Linked DNA regions of Caenorhabditis elegans. The protein of the gene in region 3 interacts with the protein of the main gene of each other region in a biochemical or structural test. Each region holds a gene or a part of one and is shown on either strand. Other genes may lie near its edges. The genes, in order: csr-1, eef-1A.1, fbf-1 and nos-3.

Region 1 (7,213 bases), on a different chromosome or scaffold from region 3:
GTAATTGGAAAATGTAGTTCGCTCGGGTGAAGTTACATAATTAAATGTTAATAGATATGTAGACTAATTAATGATTACCTGATACTCCTAAAAGCATTTGTAACTCAACAAGAGTTGGTGTTCTCAGATCATTTGCAATAGCAAACATTGCCAATTGGCTTGTTGCCATATTTGTCCAACCATCAATTACATTTTTTTCTTCTTCCTCTTCGTCTTCTTCACCGTTTTTTTCGCTGTCGTTTTCTTCCTCAAAATCATTACCTTCTTCAACTGGATTAGATTTTTTCTCCAGTAAACTTTCAATATTGAAAGCCATTTTTCAATAGTTTTTATTTAAAAGACTTTAAGAAAATGTAGAGTTGAGAAGTTGCCAATATATATGACGATTAGGAATTAGATTGAGAATGAGAGCCTTTTCGGCTTCAGGTTTTGATTTATATTAGGAACCCGTGGGAAAGTTATGCGACAGGTGAGCTCTGAGTCTCTCTCCACCAATACACTCTTTCTTCAACCGCCCATGCTTGTAATCATTCTATGACAAACACTGAAATTTGAGTATTTTTGTTGAGGCAAGGTAATTGAGATTATTAATGGAATTGAAATTAGATTCTTTTGAGAAAATCAGAGAAAACCTTCCTAAGAAAATTCAGCTATATAGCTCGGCTACAGTAACCCCAAAAAAAGTAATTAACAAATGGGAAAGTGAGCATTGAAAATATTGGAAAATTGTCAAAATAATAGTGTTTTTTCCACGATTTGTTATCGTTTATCGTGAGATTTTGAATTTTCGGTTCTTTGTTATCACTTTTTTCATAGAAATATGAATATTTTTGAGCACACAAGGCATTCTCCAGGAGAATTATGAAACTGTGGATTATTTTTGGGAACGGACAGTTGAAGGTTTTCGCAAATTTAAACAAGTCTAAAACTTTTTACTTTTATTAATATAGTAATGAACTGTATTTTTACATGAAATGATTACGTTAACGGGACTCCAACTCATAAATCAAAAACACATTTTAACAGACAAAATATTTTATTGTCTACATGTTTGCTGTTAACAAAATTTTATCAAATCAATTGTGTAAGCAGATTTTTTATTTTGAATTTTTGTCTTTAATTCAAGAACTAGAAACTTTCTTGATACAAATTTAAATAGTGCATTGTTCTAGTTGAATTATCTACATTTTTCAAAATACCGCTAATCACTAATTATCGGTATGAATGTTCAAACTTTTGTATCTCTGATTACGGTTATCGTCCTAGTTCCAAATAACTAGATACATTTTCCAAAATCAAACATTTTTTTTTGATGCATAAACAGTTATGAATCATCTTTATTGCAGACGTGATCATGCCATTTCACCCCATTTTTATTGGTTTTCCAATGTTTATGGGAACAAAGAGCTTTTATTTATTTTCCTCTTTCTCTGATAATTTCATGAATAAGATTTGAATTTTTATTTTCATTGTATTCATATTTTCGAGTGTTCGGTAAGAATATCCTTTAAAAACATATTTTGGAAATTCTGTTTTCAAAATTATTTTTAGCCTTGATTCAATTTTAGTTTAAAAATTGTATGCTACAGTATTTATTGCTACAGTACTCATTCTCAGGATTTAGTGCTCCAGTAATAATTGTGATAACTTTCACCACGCGTAAAATATATTAAAAAAGTGTTGACCTTTGTCACGGTAAACGGCCAAAAAGCCACGTTTTTCAAGGTCAGCATACGTGGTGTTTTGTCAGGTTTCAAGTTTAGTTTATTCTATCGTTTTAGCTCCAAAATTGAAGCGAGACTTTCCTGTTTTTCGCAAGAATTGTTAGAGTTCTTATACTTTGAAGGTTTGTGTGATGCTTTTAAGGTTTTAAATTTGACTTAACTGTTTTCCAAATCTGAATAAATAGGTCTTCAAAAGTTTTTTTCTTTTTTCGAAAATCCTTCTTTTTTCTCTCAATCAATTGAAATCAGCTTTCGATATTTGTGTACCTCAAAATTTGCGGATAATAAACAACTGTCATCCTCAAAATTTCACAAAAATAATAATATTACATTTCTTGATTAATTTATCAATATTTTCAGGTTAGAATGCAGTCGGATAATGTCGGTCGTGGCCGTGGAAGCCGTGGTGGTTCTCGTGGAGGTAGTGGACGTGGTAGAGGACGTGGAGGATACGGAGACTCGTATCGTCCGGATTTAGAAACGAGAGAAACCCATGTAACGTATCAAGGCAAGGTAAAGTATGAAGGAGGAGACCGTCATGATTTCAACTATGAGAAGACGCCAACTGGAAGTTATCGTGGCTCGCATCGAGATGGTCAGGAAGGATCGAGAGGCAACCGCGGATCATTCAGAGGTGGACGAGGAGGTTACGACAGAAGACGTGATGATGAAGAATCAAAAGCAGAAAATCGTTTTGGAGGGTACAATCGGGGAGCAAATGGCGGAAACTATCGCGGGAGAACTGGCGGGAGCGGCAGAGGTGGATCGACCCAAACCACTACCGTGGATCCTAAATATAATGGATTGATCTTGGAAAATTCAGCAGAGCCAAAGCTTAAAGGTGAGTATTATTTGAGTATTATTTTGTATTTAAATAGCGACTGATTTTTAAATTAATTTTTGATCTCGCACCTGTGATTTTTCGGGGAACGAACCGAAATAATTTCGATCTCGGGCGGGAAATTGTTTTTCGAGATTTAAAAAAAATCTTCCCACCAACAAAGAAATACCAATGCGGAGGCACATAACAAACAATTTTGAGAAATCAGTAATTTGATAAAATAGAAGACTGAATAGTTATGAAATCAATAAAAGCTAACGAAATCAACATATTTTCTTTTTTTAGCATATTTAAAAATTGTTTCATCTGATCAAAACATTGAACAAAGGGTGGTGCGCGCTCTCTCACATGGATACGGTAGATGAAAAGTGTGCGACTTCGCGTCAGGTGTGATCACAATCTTCTAGAATTTTCGCATTCCCAAAAACTTGAAATTTAGGCCTTTCTCTGCGTTTAGTTGATCGTTTCTTTCCCGTTCTTATTTTGAATTTTGATATCATTGCTTTTATTTTTTAAATAATAATTTGAACTATACTTTTTTCAGGACTTAACTCTGACATGAATCAGAAGCAAAATCCAAGACTTGCCCTGAACATCTTCGGGCTTGAGCTCTCTGAGCGAACGATTTTCCGGCATGTTGTGCAAATGAAGCTCATCGATCGTCAGCACAATAAGGAGTATATTCTTACAACAATGAGTGCCAGGTGAGTGTACTGTTCGTTTAAAATTTACACTTTTATTTCAGAGGACGTGGAAACCGTGCAACAAAGCAAAAAGATAACTTTATTCTTCTTGACATCCTACTCAAACAGTGGGCCGCGAAGAAGGGTCAGCAGAATCTTCCTGCATTCGCGTACGACGGTGCACAGTCTTTATTCACTTTGGAGGGAATCAGCTTGGTATGATTTCATTTTTTTTTCTTTCTTGTATTTGGGTTTATAGATGGTCGATATCAAGAAAGAAGATGCTCTCGAAATCCCGGAACTTTCCAATTTTCTGAAGGATTCCATCTCGTTCCTCAGCGGCGATTTGGAGATCTCTTGTGAACCGGATCTCGAGAAACCGTCATTCGTTCAGACGGAGCTTAACGAATGGAGTGATCCAAGATTCTACGCTTATTTGGATATTGTGACATCACAGAGTGCCATTAGAAGGTATTATTAATTTCTTACTTATTGCTTTCCAAATGTATCTTCAGCGAAAGATATTTGTCGCAGTCGAAAGGTCTCTATGTCCACACTCAAAGCTTGGAGGAGCTTCGCGTGAAATGGGCTGTTGCAGCAAAAGGAATCCACAAAGGATGCCGAATCGTCGGAGCAAACGGACCTCTTCCAATTCTAGAACTCGATCGTTAGTTTCATTCGCGTTCATACCTTTGCAATTTTATATATTTGCAGCTCAATCGACTCAGTACTATGCTTCAATCCCACTCAGTCAGATGTTGCAGTACGCATTTCCTCGTGATTTTCCGCCAAACCGTATCGTTAATCCAAATATGAAACTGCAAAGAGCCGTGAAACTATTGTTGAAGGATTTAAAATGCAACCCATATTACGATGACAAACAGATTTGGGCTACGAACACTATCACAGTGTCGGATGTTGACTACAACGCGCCGAAAGATCCAGAATTCAGACAAAAGTATCCAAATCTGAAATTCCCAATGCTTCCTGCAGTTCAATGCGGCACTGGACCACACAAGCGCCTCATGCCGCTCGAATATTTGAAGGTTCTTCCTTATCAATCCATTGACCGCCGTGTACTCGAAGAGTTTGAGCTTACAGTAAGTTTAAATTTTTCATATATGTCATCTTAATTCAACTTACAGCCACGAGCGAATGCCCCGAACGAACGCTGGTCAACTCTTCAAAAACACTACGATCAATTTGGTTTCAACGATCAAGTCATGAAAGATTTTGGTGTCCAAATCTGCAATGATCCTTTCAACAACGTCAGTGAGATCGACGGTGAAAGAGTCCTCGCGCCTAGTGTTGCATATGCAGACCCGGTACACGTGGATGATGAGAAGCGTGACTGGAAAGCACAAGACAAAAAGTTTGTTACACCTGCTACGATTGACCATTTGATGTTCGTTCTAGTAGCAGGTTATACTCGAACTTGGGATGCTGATTGCGATGCAACCAAATTTGTCGCGAAAGCATTCATGCAGCGTTGCAAGGACAAAGGAATGCACATTGGCAGTTATAGCATGGATCAGCACAATGGCGAACGAGGCAGCGAAAATTTCCTTACTTCGGTCTTCAAAAACTTGGTGACTCATCCAAACTACCGGGATTCGTCTTTCACTCCGTTCGTCTTGTTTATTTCCGATGACGTTCCTAACATTCATGAGTGCCTCAAATTCGAAGAGCGTATGAGTGACATTCCAACGCAGCACGTACTTCTCAAAAATGTCAAAAAGATGCGTGACAACATCGAAAAGAAGTCTCAAGGTGGAAGAAGAGCATATGATTTGACTCTTGACAATATTGTGATGAAAGCCAACATTAAATGCGGTGGACTTAACTACACAGCAGATATTCCAAGAGAGTTAGTTGGGCGCACATCATACATTATTAAATTAATTTTTACAGTCTTGCGTGCTGGAATGAAGTTTCTACCTTCGTAATTGGAATGGACGTTGCTCATCCTGACCGAAACGCTGCGAGAGAAGGAAATCCATCCACCGTCGGAGTAAGTTATCAACATAGCCGTGTCGCTACAAATTTATTTTATAGCTGTCCTGCAATTCTGCTGAAAACCCATACTCGTTCATTGGAGACTTCTTATACACCGATCCTAGAAGAGAGGCGATCCAGGATGAAATTTTGCGAAAATTCACTGACCAAAGCGTTCGAAACTTTGCCGAAATTCGAGGTTTCCCAAAGAAAGTAATCATCTTCCGTGATGGTGTTTCATTCGGTGAAGAGACTGCGGCTCTGAAGGAGGTGGAAATCATTGAGCAAACCATTAAGACAGCCGCTAAGTCCATGGGCCATTCTGATTATGCTCCAAAAGTATTAGCCATTGTTGTTAAAAAACGTCACCACACTCGATTCTACGCCAAGGGAGGACATCACGGGAACATGCCGATCGTAAGTTCTTAAAACAATAATCTGTTAAAATTGTACGTCTTATTTTTCAGAATCCGCTTCCCGATACATCTGTTGGTGGTGATATTGCCGAATATGGAAAAAGACAAATCTTCATCCAAGCTTTCCGGCCAGTGCAAGGTACTGCAAAGGTTCCATCATTCTTGGTTATTCGAGATGATGAGGAAGTTTCGGACGAACATGTTGCCAAAATGGTTTGCGCCGTATGCAGTCTTCATCAGGTACAGACAACTGATTTCTTTCTAACACAAAGGAAAATTTTAGCTTGTTAACAGTCCAACATCCATCCCAACTCCAGTTTACGTTGCTCATGAGCTCGCCAAGAGAGGAACCGGGCTTTACAAAGCTTATAGGTATAATGTGATTATTCAATGCAACTTAAAATTTTAATTTTTTCAGGTTCAAGAATGGCGAACTCTTTGATGATTGGGAAACGCTCACCACTCAACTCTCCTATAGCACTCTCGATCGACTTTCAAAAGTTCGAGTTGTTTAGGCGTGCAACTCTTTCCCTGTTGTTCCTACATTCCTCATGTCTCGAATATCCTGAGACTTAGTTCAATAGATAAATTCCTCCGCTCGTAATATTTTAACTGTTAAATTTTCCTCCCTTAAAGTCTCATCTTATTTTTTCCCTTTTTCTTGCCTCCACCCTCTCTTCTCAAGCTCCTCCCATTCTTCGTTTGTTTTTGAATATAGAGAAGCGCAGCCAGTATTTCTCTTGAATACAACACAACTTGCTCTTCTTTCCATTCAAATATAATTATCATTTCTGGTGATATGTTGAACAATCGGTCTTCTCACATATGTTCACTGGAAGATTTCTTTTCATATGAAATTGTGGAAAGAATATCCTACCTTTACCTTGTTCCACTGGTTAGTATAACTTCATTATATAAATGTCGTGTTGAATAATGTTGTTTTTATTTTTATCTTTGCATGAATTTTTGTGGCAGATTTTATTCAACGATGAAAAGTTGAAACAGTGTATGCAAAAGATCTTTTGATTCGTGTGAAACATTTACCCCTGCCATACGGCCTGCGTAATCTAATTTTTTGGTGAAGGCTCAAGAAAATGAATTTGTTGCTCATAAAACATGATCCATAAAATGTTTTCATGACACATTTTTCGTTGACTCCTGGGGGGTATACAACTGCGAAACTCAGGAATTCATGAGTTTTCACGTGGCATTCATCTGGTTTTATTAATGACACATGATAATTAGTTATTTGTGTGCAGCCACTGAAAGAGCTTCATCTATCTGAAATACAACAGCTCGTCTACCGAATGAAATGACGCACCGAATGTGGAATAAAAAGAGAAATTCAGAAGATGTGCCCTTCTCTTCTCAGCTTCTCATGAATAAATTTGTGAGAATTTCAGAATTCCGAAAGACCATAGATTCTTGCTGGTTTGAAACCCATTATATAAATAGTACATTAACACGATATCTATTTAAAAAAGGAAATTGTTTCTTGCGGGGAAATTGATAAATAACTTTCGGATTGATAATTGTAAATTCCATTTTGAATTT
Region 2 (3,850 bases), on a different chromosome or scaffold from region 3:
TCATTTCTACAACTACTTTTTAACTTAAGATGACGCAGAAACTATCAGAAAATGAAGAGAAGGATGACACTGGTTACTATACACCGAAGAATATATTGAATCCTGCTATGTTCCGGTTCGTTTTCCCAATTTTGTAAATCAATGTACTAAATTGATCTAATCAGGCTGGCGGAGATAACTCGTGCCTTAAGCGAAGTTAATATGGAAGTTGAAAAGGAAAAGCTGTTTGATGATAGAAGACATACTATAAATGTGGACCAGTTCACCCGAGAAGAAATTGATATCAACGAAAGAAACAATGAATCTCCAGATGCTATCGAAATTTTAGATCGAAGGTGAGGAGCAAGCTCAATCGAATACCAAATATTACTTCCAGATCTGAGAAGCAACACTGCAAATGGACCACGAAGCTGAAGAACAACGAGGACACAATAGCCAAAGTCTTGATTATTTGCCTCATTATATCTATCACTTTATTAATGTTAATGCTGATTTTCTGGAGTTGAGTTAACAGAGATGAACGTTGTTTATCAGTTTTCAATGTTTATTTATTTCATAACCCATTAAAAAGTAAAGAGTTGATAATTTATTCAAAAATCAACAAGATAAACTCAACAATGAAGATTTACTTCTTCTTTGGTGCAGCCTTTTGGGCGGACTTGGTGACCTTTCCAGAGGATCCATCAGACTTCTCAACGGACTTGATAACTCCGACAGCGACGGTTTGTCTCATGTCACGAACGGCGAAACGTCCGAGTGGAGCGTAGTCGGTGAAGGATTCAACACAAAGTGGCTTGGTTGGGATGAGCTCGACGATTCCAGCATCTCCAGACTTGAGGAACTTTGGGAAGTCCTCAACCTTCTTACCGGTACGACGGTCAACCTGAAAAACAAATTGGTACATAAACGAAACAATAAGACAAATAAGTTACCTTCTCCTTAAGCTCGTTGAACTTGCAGGCGATGTGAGCGGTGTGGCAATCGAGAACTGGAGTGTATCCGTTGGAGATCTGTCCTGGATGGTTCATGATGATGACCTGGGCGTGGAAGGTGCGAGCCTCCTTGGCTGGGTCTTGCTTGGAGTCGGAGCAGACGGATCCACGACGAATATCCTTGACGGAGACGTTCTTGACGTTGAATCCAACGTTGTCTCCTGGGACGGCCTCTGGAAGAGATTCGTGATGCATCTCAACGGACTTGACTTCAGTGGTGACGTTTTGTGGAGCGAAGGTAACGACCATTCCTGGCTTGATGATTCCGGTCTCAACACGTCCGACTGGAACAGTTCCGATTCCTCCGATCTTGTACACATCCTGGAGTGGGAGACGGAGTGGTCGGTCAGTTGGGCGTTGTGGTGGAATGATGGAGTCGAGAGCCTCGAGGAGGGTCTTTCCGGAAGCGTTTCCTTCCTTGCGCTCAACGGCCCATCCCTTGAACCATGGCATGTTGGAGGAGACCTCAAGCATGTTGTCTCCGTTGAATCCAGAGATTGGGACGAATGGAACAGCCTTTGGATTGTATCCGATCTTCTTGATGAATCCAGAAACCTCGTTGGTGATCTCGGTGAAACGGGCCTCAGAGAATGGTGGCTCGGTGGAGTCCATCTTGTTGCAGGCAACGATGAGTTGCTTGACTCCAAGGGTCTGGGCAAGAAGAGCGTGCTCGCGAGTTTGTCCGTTCTTGGAGATTCCGGCCTCGAATTCTCCAGTTCCGCAAGCGACGACCAAGACGGCGCAATCGGCCTGGGATGTTCCTGCAATTAAAGTTTTATAAACGAGCTAAAAATTTAACAAAGTCGTACCAGTGATCATGTTCTTGATGAAATCACGATGTCCTGGGGCATCGATGATGGTGATGTAGTACTTGGCAGTCTCGAACTTCCAGAGAGCGATATCGATGGTGATACCACGTTCACGCTCGGCCTTCAGCTTGTCGAGGACCCAAGCGTACTTGAAAGATCCCTTACCCATCTGAAAAAAATCGGGTGAGAAAATCTTTCAAACTAGTTGTTTGTACTATTTACCTCCTGAGCCTCCTTCTCGAACTTCTCGATGGTTCTCTTGTCAATTCCTCCGCACTTGTAGATCAAGTGTCCAGTTGTGGTGGACTTTCCGGAGTCGACGTGTCCGATGACGACGATGTTGATATGAACCTTTTCTTTTCCCATGGCTGCTACGGAGTGAGCAAAGTGTTTCCCAACTGAAAAAAAAACAATTTAATTTAAAAGTAAGAAGAGTGCGGACGGTAGAGAGAATAAAAGTCGAAAAAATTATCCTAGAAACTTCTAATATTTTTAAAAATTAAAAAAATATAAAAAGTGAGGTCACAAATAAGACAGTTAGAACATTTGTTGAAAGCCTAAAATAAAAATTCGACTAAACAGTGAGAACAGGAAAAACGCTGGGACTGAATGTTTGACCTCATTATAAATTCATAAAATTTAAATTTCCTAATCTGGATAAAAACAAAGATAAAAACAAAATAAACCAACAAAAAACCAACATGATTAGTCAGATGACCAGAAAACTCACGTTAATTTCACAAGGCCCAAAAAAATCTCTCCCCCTCTCGTTGCTGCCTGCACATCTAACTCCTAGCACGAAAATGTACCGTACACCATTTCAAACACTCTCGGCGGGAGTGTTGCATACTTTTTCTCTCTGGCAGTTTATTTTCAATAAATTCTTCATTTTTATATTGTATAATGTCTTTATTTTATGAAAAATTCATTAATTTAACAGAAACAATGGAAGAACCAATGGAAGTTGACAATAAAAGACCAAAGGTGCTCACCTGGACAGAAAAATAGTTAGTTTTTTGTTTTTCGATTTGCAAAGTAAATTCAAATTTTCAGTCGTCCAAAAACGCTAGACGATATTGCATACCAGGATGAAGTCGTCACAATGCTGAAAGGAGCGCTTCAAGGAAGAGACGTATTGCTTAAAAAATTATTCAAACTAATCGTTTTAATTTTTCAGTTACCACATCTTTTGTTCTATGGACCACCAGGTACTGGTAAGACGTCAGCAGCTCTTGCATTTTGCCGCCAACTCTTCCCAAAAAATATTTTCCAGTAAGTGAAATACTGGGTGATAATTTTTTCCAATAATTATATTTTCAGCGATAGGGTTCTTGATTTGAATGCATCGGACGAGCGTGGTATTGCAGTTGTTCGTCAAAAAGTAAGATTGCCACTGATTTTTAATTAATTAAGAATTCCATAATTATAAAAACGTTTCCTGTTTAGATTCAATCCTTCTCCAAGTCATCTTTGGGCCACAGCCATAGGGAAGATGTTCTCAAATTGAAAATTATCATACTTGATGAAGTTGATGCGATGACCCGAGAAGCACAAGCAGCAATGCGCAGAGTTATTGAAGATTTTTCCAAAACTACTCGCTTCATTCTCATCTGCAACTATGTTTCCCGATTGATTCCTCCAGTTGTGAGCCGTTGTGCCAAGTTCCGATTCAAATCACTTCCAGCCGAGATTCAAGTTCAAAGGTGAAATTTCAAAATTAAGTGTTTTTTATAACTTTCGGTGTTTTTAGATTGAGAACAATTTGTGATGCAGAAGGAACTCCCATGAGTGATGATGAACTGAAACAAGTTATGGAATATTCAGAAGGTGATTTGAGACGAGCTGTATGTACACTTCAGTCATTGGCTCCAATTTTGAAAAGTGTTAGTTGTTTTTTCTATAAATATTGTGTAAAAATAGTACTTTATATTTCCAGGGCGATGACAATGCTCGAAATTGCTATCTCCGTGGTTCTTCGGACAGTTTACTCATTTCAAACGTTTGCAAATCAATCCTGACTGCTGATGTTCCCCAAATAATTGCATTGAC
Region 3 (4,875 bases):
CTTCATTCCGAGATGACAAACTTTTTGGTGGCAAAGGTTCTTTGGGGGCATAGTATCCAAGGAGACAAAGTATCCAGTAGACAAACTGGGGTGTATCTTGGGGGGCATATCTTTGGTGACAACCTTTTTTTCAACTAGATTTTTATATGTATTTTTCAACTAATTTTTGTTCACATTTTTCTGGAATAAGTTTTTTAATGCAATTTTCAATCGATTATCGGTTATAATTCCCTCACAATTAAATGTATGAACGATGGTCTTTTGGGAAAAGCTGTAAAAGGTCCAACTAACTTGGAATATCGTGAGGCTCTTCCTGATGGTCTGATCCTTCAGCTCCGAGGGATCACATAGGTACCTTCTGATGTTCTGATCCTTCAGAAAAGAAGGATCGTAAGGGTACCTCCTGATGGTCTGATCCTTCAGCTCCAAAGGATCACGAGGCTCTTCCTGATGTTCTGATCCTTCAGCTCCGAAGGATCACATGGGTACCTTCTGATGTTCTGATCCTTCAGATAAGAAGGATCGTAAGGGTACCTCCTGATGGTCTGATCCTTCAGCTCCAAAGGATCACGAGGCTCTTCCTGATGTTCTGATCCTTCAGCTCCGAAGGATCCGACGTCATCATCTCGAAGAATCTTACGATATTCCAAGTTAGTTGGACGTTTTACAGCATTTTCCCAAAAGATCATTGTTCATGCATTCAATTGTGAGTAGTCAAGGCCGAAAATCCATGGAAAATTGCATTTAAAAACTTATTCCAGTAAAATATGAACAAAAAATGGTCAAGAAATATATATAAAAAAACTAGTTGAAAAAGTTTGTCACCGAAGATACGCCCGGTCAGAGACAAATGGCACTTTGTCGACTGGATACCATGTCACTTTGGATACTTTGTCCCCAAAAATACCTTGCCACCCTAAAAGTTTGTCCCCTCGGAATGAGGGCCAGTTACCAGTGGCCATAATCGTGTGATTATTATTTGGGATGTTCGAAGTGTTTGCTCCGCCCTTTCTGGATCACAATAGACAATTGCTTCTTCTACTTCTTGAATGTCTCATAATTCTTCTTATTTTTATCTAATTTATTGCTTCTCCTTTCTATTTTGTATATTAACTCCCAAAAACGCCCATTCTTCCCCAAAACCATCTAAAACTTACCAATATTTCCCGATACCCCTGACAGGTTATCCTGAATAATGATTGTGATTCTCAAATTTCTTCTAATCCCGTTAATTCCCCAAATATTCGAATGTAACTTTTTTTGGAATTTTTTTGTTTTCTAGTTTATAAATAAACAATATGTTTGAAAAACAATCGTAATTTGCGTTTTAGATGGTTAAACGGTAGGAAGCTTAAGCTTCCTACAACATCCAAATACAATGCAATATTTTCTGAAATTCTAAATATCAAAACATCATCCGGAATATGGAGATTTAATGCAACTCTATAGAGGTTTATGGGGACTTAGTCTTCTGGAAATTGAATTATGTGATTATGAATTAATTTTAAAAAAACCAATCCCAATCATACGATCGTCGACGACGATCGTCCCTCGCGTCTCGCGAGAGCCAACTGGTTATAGCTTTTCGGGAGGTTTAAATGTTTTATCAATTTTATACGGTACGGTCTGGAATATTCCACAATTTTTTATCTGTTTTAACAGAGAATATCTCTCCATGGAGATGCTAAAATTTTGAGAGATAAATAAGCAAATCGCATTGTTTGAAAATTTCAATTTGGATACGGTAGACAATGACAAAGTACGCAAACACCAGAGTATGTGACACACTTTCGTCATTCTCAAATTCAATTTGAAATATTATTTTCTTATTCCTATTCTCTATTTTCTGTGAATTGATAGTTTTTCTATAAGTAACCATTCGAATAAAATTATCAACTAATCGACATGGACCAATCAAAAATGCGCTATACAAATCAGTTCAGAAAAGTTGGTTTTCAGCCATTAATATTGATAAATGGCCTAAATTTTACAGACTCCGCAAAAGCCCACATCTACAGAGGTTGGAAATCATCATACTCCCGCACATTCGCCGATGGCGCAGCATGAGACATCAATGTGGAACTTCAACTCTCTCAACCCGTATTTCTCAATGCTCAATATGAACGATGGGATGAATTATGCTCGCCATCAACAGAATCACATTGTTACATCGCGGCCACCAACCCCGCTAACTGATTTGATGAGCCTCCGGAGTTTTCAGAGCTTTGTAAGTTAGAGTAGCTAATTTTTGGTTGTTTTCATTACTGATTTGCAGCCCAATGTGTTCATGCCGGTCTCGCGTAGCCGAACTTCATCATTCATTCAGTCTGATACGGATTCCTCGCGTCTCGAGCCGGACGATTTTTCACAAAATGTCCGATATTGCTCTACCGAGATTGATCGTAACAATAGTTCTTCGAAAAATGACCATTTGAAATATTCGAGGTTCGAATTAATTTATCACTATCCTCAAGTGTTTATTCTGTTTTATTTATAGACCCGCTCTATCGAGGAACTCTAGATCATTCACAAGATCAAACAATGTGCTGCCAACCTGGTCCTTGGATTCCAATGGTGAAATGCGTTCAAGATTGTCGCTCTCTGAAGTTTTGGATAGTGGCGATTTGATGAAGTTTGCCGTTGACAAAACTGGGTGCCAGTTCCTCGAAAAGGCCGTGAAGGGCAGCCTGACATCTTATCAGAAGTTCCAATTGTTTGAACAAGTTATTGGGAGAAAAGATGATTTCCTTGTAAGTTTTAGTTTCTGCGAGCACACACGACTTTTCTTTTCAGAAATTGAGCACGAACATCTTTGGAAATTATTTCGTACAAGAAATCATTGGAATGTCATTGACAACTTATGATGACGACAACATAAAGCGACAAGAAAAGTTGAAGAACTTCATCAGTTCCCAAATGACAGATATGTGCTTGGACAAATTTGCGTGTCGTGTTATCCAATCCAGTCTCCAGAACATGGATTTATCCCTTGCGTGTAAACTTGTTCAAGCTCTACCTCGTGATGCTCGTCTTATCGCAATCTGTGTTGATCAAAATGCCAATCACGTCATTCAGAAAGTCGTAGCTGTCATCCCACTGAAGAATTGGGAGTTTATCGTGGATTTTGTTGCAACCCCAGAGCACCTCCGTCAGATTTGTTTTGATAAGTATGGGTGCCGTGTTGTGCAAACTATAATCGAAAAACTCACTGCTGATTCAATAAACGTTGATTTAACTTCCGCTGCTCAACATCTTCGTGAACGAGCACTCCAACGCCTCATGACTTCTGTGACTAATCGGTGCCAAGAATTAGCTACGAACGAGTATGCCAATTACATAATACAGCATATTGTATCCAATGATGATCTGGCCGTATATCGGGAATGTATCATAGAGAAATGCCTCATGTGAGTGTTGTTTAATATATATTTGATTTTTAATCATTAATATTTCAGGCGCAATCTTCTTTCGTTATCCCAGGAAAAGTTTGCGTCTCATGTTGTAGAGAAAGCATTCCTACATGCACCAATGGAACTTCTTGCTGAAATGATGGACGAGATTTTCGACGGATACATGCCACACCCGTAAAAATTTCGTTTCAGTCACATAAAAATTAAATTGTTTTTCAGGGGCACTGGAAAAGATGCTCTCGATATCATGATGTTCCATCAATTCGGAAACTACGTCGTTCAATGCATGCTGACTATTTGCTGTGATGCTGTGTCTGGAAGACGACAAACGAAAGAAGGGAGCTATGACCATGCAAACTCATTCCAAGTTTGGCTCAAAAAGTTGCACTCGAGAGTTACGAAAGAAAGGCATCGCTTGTCAAGGTTATCACTATTGTCACAATAATATTTTGAAATTCGAATTTCAGGTTCTCATCCGGCAAAAAGATGATCGAGACGCTTGCCCATCTCCGTTCAACTCATCCGATTTATGGACTCCAATCTTCGGGACATGAATCATTCAAGACGGATTGCTTCAGTACTGCTTCCGAACACGATGGTCTAGAGTTGGAGAAGAATGGAATCGAGGAAGGTAACCTGAGGCTCATGCGAACTTTCTCACCATAAATCTCATCCCACCCACTTATGTTCTGTTGTTTTGTAATATTTTAAACTGTTGCAATGGTTTCGTTTCGATTTTAAGATCGATGTTGTGCCATCCCCACCCTTATCATTGCCCAGTTTTGTTTTTTCTTTTCTTTTTTGTTGTTTTATTGCTTTTCATGCAGTTGTGTTATTGTTTCTTTCTGTTTATTGTTCATTGTTTTGTTTTTTTTTTTCGAATTTAATGAATCCAGATAAATTTGGACACGAAAACTCTAAAAATTAAATAAAATTATTTCAACACTAAAATAATTCATTACGCAAAAACAACAAACAAATTATTCGAAGATTTCCTCTCGTTGACGCCAGGTAGAGTTGGCGTCGTCGTTCTCCATGTAAACCATTGATGTTGGAATTGTGGGGCGAGCCTCCACGCCTGGCGGTGGTCTTCTCGGTGCGAACATCATCGACCCACCAATCTCCTCTTCGACTGAAAACACAGAGTATTTAAAATAAAATGAGAATGAAAGGTAAGTTCCTCCCAATTACTTCAGTAAACTCGCCTTTTTTAGCCTTAAATTTTCCGCAGTTCACCAATACGGCAGCAGTGAGAATAACAGAACAGACGAGAAACAGCATCTGTAAATAAATTTGATTTCAATCTCTACTCTTCAGCACTTATACTATAAGTGTTGTACTTCTATGAGTTTCATTGGATAAGTGTCTATTCGGAATAGTCTCGCTGCACTTTATTCTCTACAGTAATCTTACATTAGAGTATACGCGAGAAATGGAGAGTGCTGCGAGAACTAGAATGAATATG
Region 4 (6,423 bases), 3.7 Mb from region 3:
TTAATTGACAATCCAGGGTTTTAGTGTTGTAGAGTCGGATTTCAGAAGTATTGGAAGCGACAGCCATGTGAGATTCATCTTTTCCAAGAAGACAGCACGAATAGATCTGAAGATAGGGAATAATAATTAAGAAGGTTCTTAAATCCAATTATTACTATTCGTAGAAATATTACTTGGCAATTTGAGAGCATATTAAAAGTGGTAATATTCAAAGAAAAAATTATTAAAAAAATGATAAAATCAAATATTTTCGTTTTTCGGTGTTTTTTTACGAATTTTGTATAAAAGATTTACATTCGAAAAATTATACATTAAAGCAACTTGATATGACAAAAATGATATCAACAAATGGTTTTCAATTCCAATTTGCAATCATTGTTTTTCTTTCAAGGTCAACTATAAAACTCACTTCGTCATGGAATCCAACAATTTGTCTTGCAATTTTCAGATTTTCAAAATCCAAAATTATAAGATTTTGTTCGGCGGAAATTGCCAAAAAGCGATTAGAAACAACATCGTAGGCCAAGTGATCGAGATTCGAGCTGGCAATCCTTTTCTTTCTGACCAACTTCGCAGTTTCAATCACAAATTCCTTAACAACACCCTCTTCTCCAACAGTGAAAAGATTTCCGTTATGTCCGATTGCTCCGCCTTCAATTGATTCGTAGAGTGGAAGAACTCGGAGTGTTTCTTGAGTTTCTGTTTCATGAATACTCATCGTCTGATCTCGCGAAAGAGCCACAACAACTCGTGAATCCGGAACTTGAAGCAGTGCGGTAATATGAGAATTATGACTTTTCCATGTGTTTACAAGTTTTTTCGGAGCACCTCTCATTATATTATAGAGGTTCAATTGTCCTTCAATGTATCCAACGACAAGCTTTTCATGTTTTCCGAACAGAATTGCTGAAACTACCGAGGGTCCTTTTAATGTGTGTGTACATTGTTGCTCTGTCAGATTCCAGACTTTCACGATGTGATCGGCACTTCCAGTCGCCAGTAAATGGCCCTCCTCATTGAATTCCATAACGAGAATAGGAGCAGTGTGTATGGTTTTCCATGTTCTGGCCAACTCTGGTTTAGTTGTCGACGGATCCAAAGGAATTGAGTATTCACGAATTATTTGATTGTTATAGGCGACCAAAAGGCGATTTCTGTTCTTGTCGACAGCTGTGCACGTAATGCGTAGCTCATCTTCAGGGTCGCCGATGGTATAGCTGCAAAAGATTTGATGCATTTCAAATTTAATTTATTTTATTAAACTTCAAAATTATTCATATTCAATTTTTCAAATAATCATAATCAATCTACTTCTAGTTTTGTGGGTGAAACTTGTTTTAAAGTTCTGTCGCAACATCACATACCTTGCAGTATTGTCAGCCAGATCAATCACTTTCACAACATTTGTGCATGTAGAAAAAAGTTTCTGACCATTTGCACTCCATCTGACAGTTCCTCCGGTGTAAACTGCTTCGACACTTCTTTTCGCGGCAATTTCCTTGATAGGTTCAGTCATTTCACCTTAAAATGTTTTAGTAACGCAGTTATTTGAGGGATCAAGAGTTAAAAATAAGAATAACATAATTTAAACTGTAAAGGTTGATGAAAAGAATAGAAAATAGGTGAAATTTACTTAAAATCTATCAAATGATCTAAAAAAACGACTCCGTAAATCGACACTAATGCCGAAACAAGTGTCACCGTACTTATTCGCTGCGAGACCCACTTCCCGTTTAATTCTACGCGCCTTTAAGTGCCCACCCATTTCGGCATTTTATCGATGAATTTATTAGCGTTCGCCGACGCTTTTTATAGATTTCTAACCTTTTTGTTCTCTTATTACCTTGCCGCCTTCAAATAAGAGTTATCTTAAACTAGTAACATTATCATTTTGCAATATAAACTCTGGAAAAATATGCAATTATTACATTTCTACACACAAAGTGTTCCGAGTATGTTTTTTTCTGTTATTTCCACTCAACTGAGAACTAAAAACTAGTTTTACCAAAATCACATGTTCCTTTTTCAATTTCTCATTTTCTTTGATACTCTTTGCCAATTGAGCTCCTTATTTTTGAAAACATAGATTCCGATAAAATTTTGCTGATTCTCTTTTTCTAAACATATTGCATATTTTAAAACACTTCGATAGTCAACATTTACAGTCAACGTTCACTTGGTAATGTCTGGACAGCAGTTCCAGCAACATTCACAGCAGCAACAACAACGTGCCCCAACCGTCTATAATAATAACAACAAGAAAAACGGCGGCAGCGCTGCAAACTCAAACCAAAACAACAACAACCCCCATCATACCTCAACGACTGATTCGGTGCCGAACTCGACTGCCAACGTGTCGTCAGCAATTTCGTTTGAGTATTCAGAGCCGCCAGGAAACACCACTAGGACAACACCAGATTCTGGGCTAGGGACTGACGACCAAAAGGGCACACCTCAACAGACACGTGCTCCGCCAGGATTTGTAAGTAGGAAACTATTGAAAATCCTATCGAAAAAAGATAAGTCAGAAAAAGAACACTTTTGAGGTGCGCAAGGTTTTAAGAGAATTGAGAGATTTTTCAAATCAGTGAAATATCAAACATGTAATTTATCTCATTCATTTTCAGCATCGAGCAGCTTATCATCGGAACAGCGGTCAACAGCAATTCTCTCAAATGCGCCCACAGCCGCCACATACTGGACCACCAAATGGTATGACATATTACGGAGGAACCGTCGGCGCGCCCGGCTATCAGCAACAACAACCACCACCACAAGAAGGATATGATCAACAGCAGCAGTTTGGAGGTGGATCCGATGGTGGACAATACCAAAGAGGACCACCAGGAGGCTATCGGGTATGGAGAATTACGGGCTCCTCAATTATTTCTAGCTCATAATAATTTTTTAATGAGCGTTATGATTTGGAAATTATATCTACAGGAAAATAATGAGAAGAGTTGATAGACATTTTGCAAATTCTTTATTTTCAGCAGTATCAACAAATGGAAAGCGGTGGTCCGCCAAGTGGATACGCGGATGACAACAACGGTGGAAACAATAATTTTGTCATTCATGGCCCCAACGATAATTTCGATGGTCGGCCACAATATAGTTGGTGCAAACTTACTGTGTTCTGTTCAAAAGCATAATTTTAGATCCTCAAGCAGGGCCACCACCACAAAATCAGCAGCAAATGATGAACAGTGGCAACTATGAAATTGATCAGTACCGTGGACAAGGACCTCCTCCAGGAAATACCTATCAACAGCAGGGACATAGTGGACAAGCTCAATATTATGCTGGACCAGTAATCCAGCAACGGCCACCACCGCCACACAATGCTCAATCTTATGGACAGTATAGGGGTCCACAAGGCCCGCAAGGCCAAATTATTCAAATGATGCCTCACAATCCACAGAATCAACAGCAGCAGCAACAACATCCAATGCTGTATCCAATGGTGTATGTTCCTGTGCCAGCACCACGAGTGTTCCGGCAAGAGCCAGCTGGTGGAGCTAGCAGTTTGGAAAAAGACGGAGGAAATGCTCGCAAAAGTAAACGAAACAGTCAAAATGAGGACGATGGTCAGCAACATCAACATCAGAATGAACAACAACCTCAACAAGGCTACCATCAACAGGATTTTGTATCGAACCCACTCTGGAATCAGATGCCTGTCGGTTACGCTCCACCAGGAAACTTCACGCAGCCTCAGCAACAACATCAACAAATGGATCAACAACAAGCCGTCCAAATGCAACATCAGATGCAGGTACAACTTTAAAAAAATTAGGGGAAGATTTTATATTATATTTTGACAATTTCACAGAGTTACACTTTTTTTAAAAAGAACAAACAACAATTCCTCAGATGTTTCAGCAAATGCAACCATACGGAATGCCACAAGGAGGCCCACCACCACCTCATGCTGCTGCTTCTATGATGAATCATCCCCATCAGCAAAATCATCCTCATATGAATGCACAAATGACCCAACAACAGCATCCAGGACAATATCTACCGCAACAATATATGCAAATGGTTCCGCCGCCTCACCATCAAATGCAACAAATGCAACAGCAAGGTAGACGTCCAGGAGGTGTTGAGCCGCTCATGGGAGGCCCGCCGTATCAAATGAGTGGACAAATTAATCAAATGGGAGGACCAATACGTGGAGGTTTTGGAATGCAACAGCAACAGCCGATGGGCTACTTCAATTCTGGAAGAGGTGGAAATGCTGGATCAGGAAGAGGAAGAGGTGGTTCACGAGGTCACGGATACCAACATTCTCGTCAAAATTCTAATCAAAGCTACAATTCTTCTCAAAGTTATCCACAAAATCGAGGAAATTTTGATTCATCAAGTCAATATCAATCCGACAGTCAACAAGTGGATGAATCAGTTACACAGCTTACCAATAGAATTGAACATCTTCAACCAGTTAGCTCACGTGCAGGATCACCAAGTAAACAGATCCTTCAGTTAGTCGAATCGAAAGATGATCAAACTTCGACTGAAAATTCTGAATCACCAAGTCGGTCAAGCACTCCTAAACATCGGAAGAAGACCCCAAAGAAAGATTTTAAAGTTGATCAAGAAGCATCTATCGAAGCGACAAAAACTGAAATAAGCGAGGAAAATCCGAAAACGGATGATATTCAGTCTAAAGATGATGTTACTTCGAAATCTGAACTACACTGTTATCGATGTGAACATTACCAGTTGCCTGCTGAAGAAGTGTCTTCCCATAAGTAAGATTAAAAATTCTAATTTATAAAAATTAAAAATTTAATTTCAGTATTCGCAAGGATAATGGTGATTTGTGGTGTGAGCATATGAAAAAGATCAAATGCGGGCATTGTGAGGCGACTGGAGAACAAGGTCATCACCCTCTAATTTGTCCAAAAAAGAAAGAAGAAGAACGTGTGGCAAAATCTCGAGAGTCTTCGCAGAAGCCGATCGATCCGCAGGAAATAAGTGATGATCAGGATGATACTGTACCGGATGTTCCCGATCAAATAGTCGAACAAGACAATCAGTCACATAAATCTCGTCACAATTCAGAAAATCGCAGTGGCGGTAGAGGATACGGTCAGAACTATAGCCATAGTTATGGCGGAAATTCTACTGGTAGCTATCGTGGACGATCGTCTGGAGGAAGTGGAGGCAGTGGACGTGGTGGTGGTCGTGGAGGTTACTCACGTGGACATGGTGGAGGATCAGGAGGAGGACAACGTGGAAACTATCAGGTTTGTATTTTAATAAATTGAAAAAAAAAACTAATTCCCATCAAGTTTCCAGAATAAACGTAAGTAAAATCGTTGGATTTTGATTGGCACCGATGTCCAACGACAACAAAAACTTCCTCCGATTTTCAAGAATCTTTCAAATATCCCGCTCGCCCAAACAAAATTCACTTCGATCTCTATTCATTCCATCCCATGCTAATACCACCATCCCACCGAATTCCAACTGCGAAAGCTTTAAAAGAAACCCCCTCATGTCTATCCCGATTTGTTGTTGAAACGTTTTGTTGTTTTTCTTTTCTTTTTTGTTGTTTTTTTTGCTAAAGAATTCCCCCAATCCTACAAGGATTCCGTAACTCGAGTTCCATCCTTTGGTCTGTTCGAATTCAATTCGTCATCCCTTTTCTGTCATGATTTTGTTGAAAATTGAAATTTTTGGCAGAAAATCCTGATTTTTTAAAATTGTGTCACCGTTCTTTCTTTCTTATACTATCTCCCTTCTCCCCCACTTTCTAAAGTATCTCTATAATCCCGCCCGTTTTCCTCTTTTTCTCTATCCCCTTTCTCTTCCCCATCAAACAATGCATAATACTGATGATGTTGGTTCGAAAAACGATCTTCAAATATTTATGTTTCCGATAAATCTCAAAATTCAAACAGAAGTGTCCCGTATTGTTGTTGTTGATCAATTAGAGAAAACAAGAACATCTTCATCCACTCCATCCACTTCGCCTTCTCCGTTTTTTAGCGATGCCACCGATTTCCTTGGCCCATTTGAGGATTTTGTGTTCACGCGCCAACGCTTTCAGCTTCTGATGATGTGACGAAGATTCTGCAGACGTGGCAAAGTGTTCGTGGTAAGGCAGCAATGGAATTGGAACACTGAAATCCACTTTTATTAATATTTTTCATCACCAAGACGTGAAGTTTTTCAATTTTTGTGCAAAAAATACAGCACCAGGTCTCGTCACGACAATTGTTTGTAAAATACATGCGGGTGGGCGCCTTTAAAGGTTACTGTATTCTCAAAACTTCGGTACTGTGAAATTTTAATTGTTTTCCAACAGTTTTTCTTACGATTTGCTAAAATTTACTTATTCTATTTTAGTGTTTAATAATAAATAAATAAGTTTTAAATAAAAAACTAGGAAAAATCGATGAAAACTCCGCGCAG

The links.
Region 1: of the proteins of fbf-1 (region 3) and csr-1, one has a biochemical effect on the other in vitro, tested with the Caenorhabditis elegans proteins (one study listed by BioGRID).
Region 2: of the proteins of fbf-1 (region 3) and eef-1A.1, one has a biochemical effect on the other in vitro, tested with the Caenorhabditis elegans proteins (one study listed by BioGRID).
Region 4: the proteins of fbf-1 (region 3) and nos-3 form a complex in vitro, tested with the Caenorhabditis elegans proteins (one study listed by BioGRID).

What each region holds. Positions count from the first base shown.
Region 1 is NC_003282.8:7,955,490-7,962,702, forward strand, and holds csr-1 (Piwi domain-containing protein), read left to right. Parts: upstream 1-1,777; 5' UTR 1,778-1,846; intron 1,847-2,084; 5' UTR 2,085-2,090; coding exon 2,091-2,565; intron 2,566-3,109; coding exon 3,110-3,269; intron 3,270-3,310; coding exon 3,311-3,464; intron 3,465-3,507; coding exon 3,508-3,719; intron 3,720-3,763; coding exon 3,764-3,915; intron 3,916-3,962; coding exon 3,963-4,348; intron 4,349-4,393; coding exon 4,394-5,115; intron 5,116-5,159; coding exon 5,160-5,259; intron 5,260-5,303; coding exon 5,304-5,660; intron 5,661-5,710; coding exon 5,711-5,899; intron 5,900-5,942; coding exon 5,943-6,031; intron 6,032-6,077; coding exon 6,078-6,174; 3' UTR 6,175-6,668; downstream 6,669-7,213. Other genes in the region: Homeobox protein ceh-19, read right to left, coding at 79-316.
Region 2 is NC_003281.10:6,969,514-6,973,363, forward strand, and holds eef-1A.1 (Elongation factor 1-alpha), read right to left. Parts: upstream 2,200-3,850; 5' UTR 2,168-2,199; coding exon 2,024-2,167; intron 1,971-2,023; coding exon 1,802-1,970; intron 1,754-1,801; coding exon 933-1,753; intron 884-932; coding exon 626-883; 3' UTR 513-625; downstream 1-512. Other genes in the region: F31E3.12 (uncharacterized protein), read left to right, coding at 30-115, 165-335, 377-506; rfc-4 (Replication factor C subunit 4), read left to right, coding at 2,747-2,808, 2,855-2,933, 2,979-3,073, 3,122-3,182, 3,248-3,504, 3,552-3,684, 3,738-3,850.
Region 3 is NC_003280.10:6,077,751-6,082,625, reverse strand, and holds fbf-1 (Fem-3 mRNA-binding factor 1), read left to right. Parts: upstream 1-1,782; 5' UTR 1,783-1,905; coding exon 1,906-1,947; intron 1,948-1,993; coding exon 1,994-2,227; intron 2,228-2,275; coding exon 2,276-2,445; intron 2,446-2,497; coding exon 2,498-2,750; intron 2,751-2,793; coding exon 2,794-3,407; intron 3,408-3,455; coding exon 3,456-3,584; intron 3,585-3,629; coding exon 3,630-3,833; intron 3,834-3,877; coding exon 3,878-4,076; 3' UTR 4,077-4,363; downstream 4,364-4,875. Other genes in the region: H12I13.6 (uncharacterized protein), read right to left, coding at 4,391-4,542, 4,616-4,691. UniProt on the Caenorhabditis elegans protein: RNA-binding protein that binds to the consensus sequence 5'-UGUGCCAUA-3' in mRNA 3'-UTRs. Involved in the control of stem cells and sex determination in the C.elegans hermaphrodite germline.
Region 4 is NC_003280.10:9,744,552-9,750,974, forward strand, and holds nos-3 (Nanos-type domain-containing protein), read left to right. Parts: upstream 1-1,764; 5' UTR 1,765-1,915; coding exon 1,916-1,952; intron 1,953-2,150; exon of another isoform or gene 2,151-2,165; coding exon 2,166-2,482; intron 2,483-2,627; coding exon 2,628-2,858; intron 2,859-2,993; coding exon 2,994-3,114; intron 3,115-3,158; coding exon 3,159-3,775; intron 3,776-3,873; coding exon 3,874-4,754; intron 4,755-4,801; coding exon 4,802-5,252; intron 5,253-5,297; coding exon 5,298-5,309; coding exon of another isoform or gene 5,310-5,319; 3' UTR 5,320-5,903; downstream 5,904-6,423. Other genes in the region: Y53C12B.1 (U3 small nucleolar RNA-associated protein 13 C-terminal domain-containing protein), read right to left, coding at 1-106, 410-1,217, 1,365-1,516; Y53C12B.7 (uncharacterized protein), read right to left, coding at 5,960-6,131.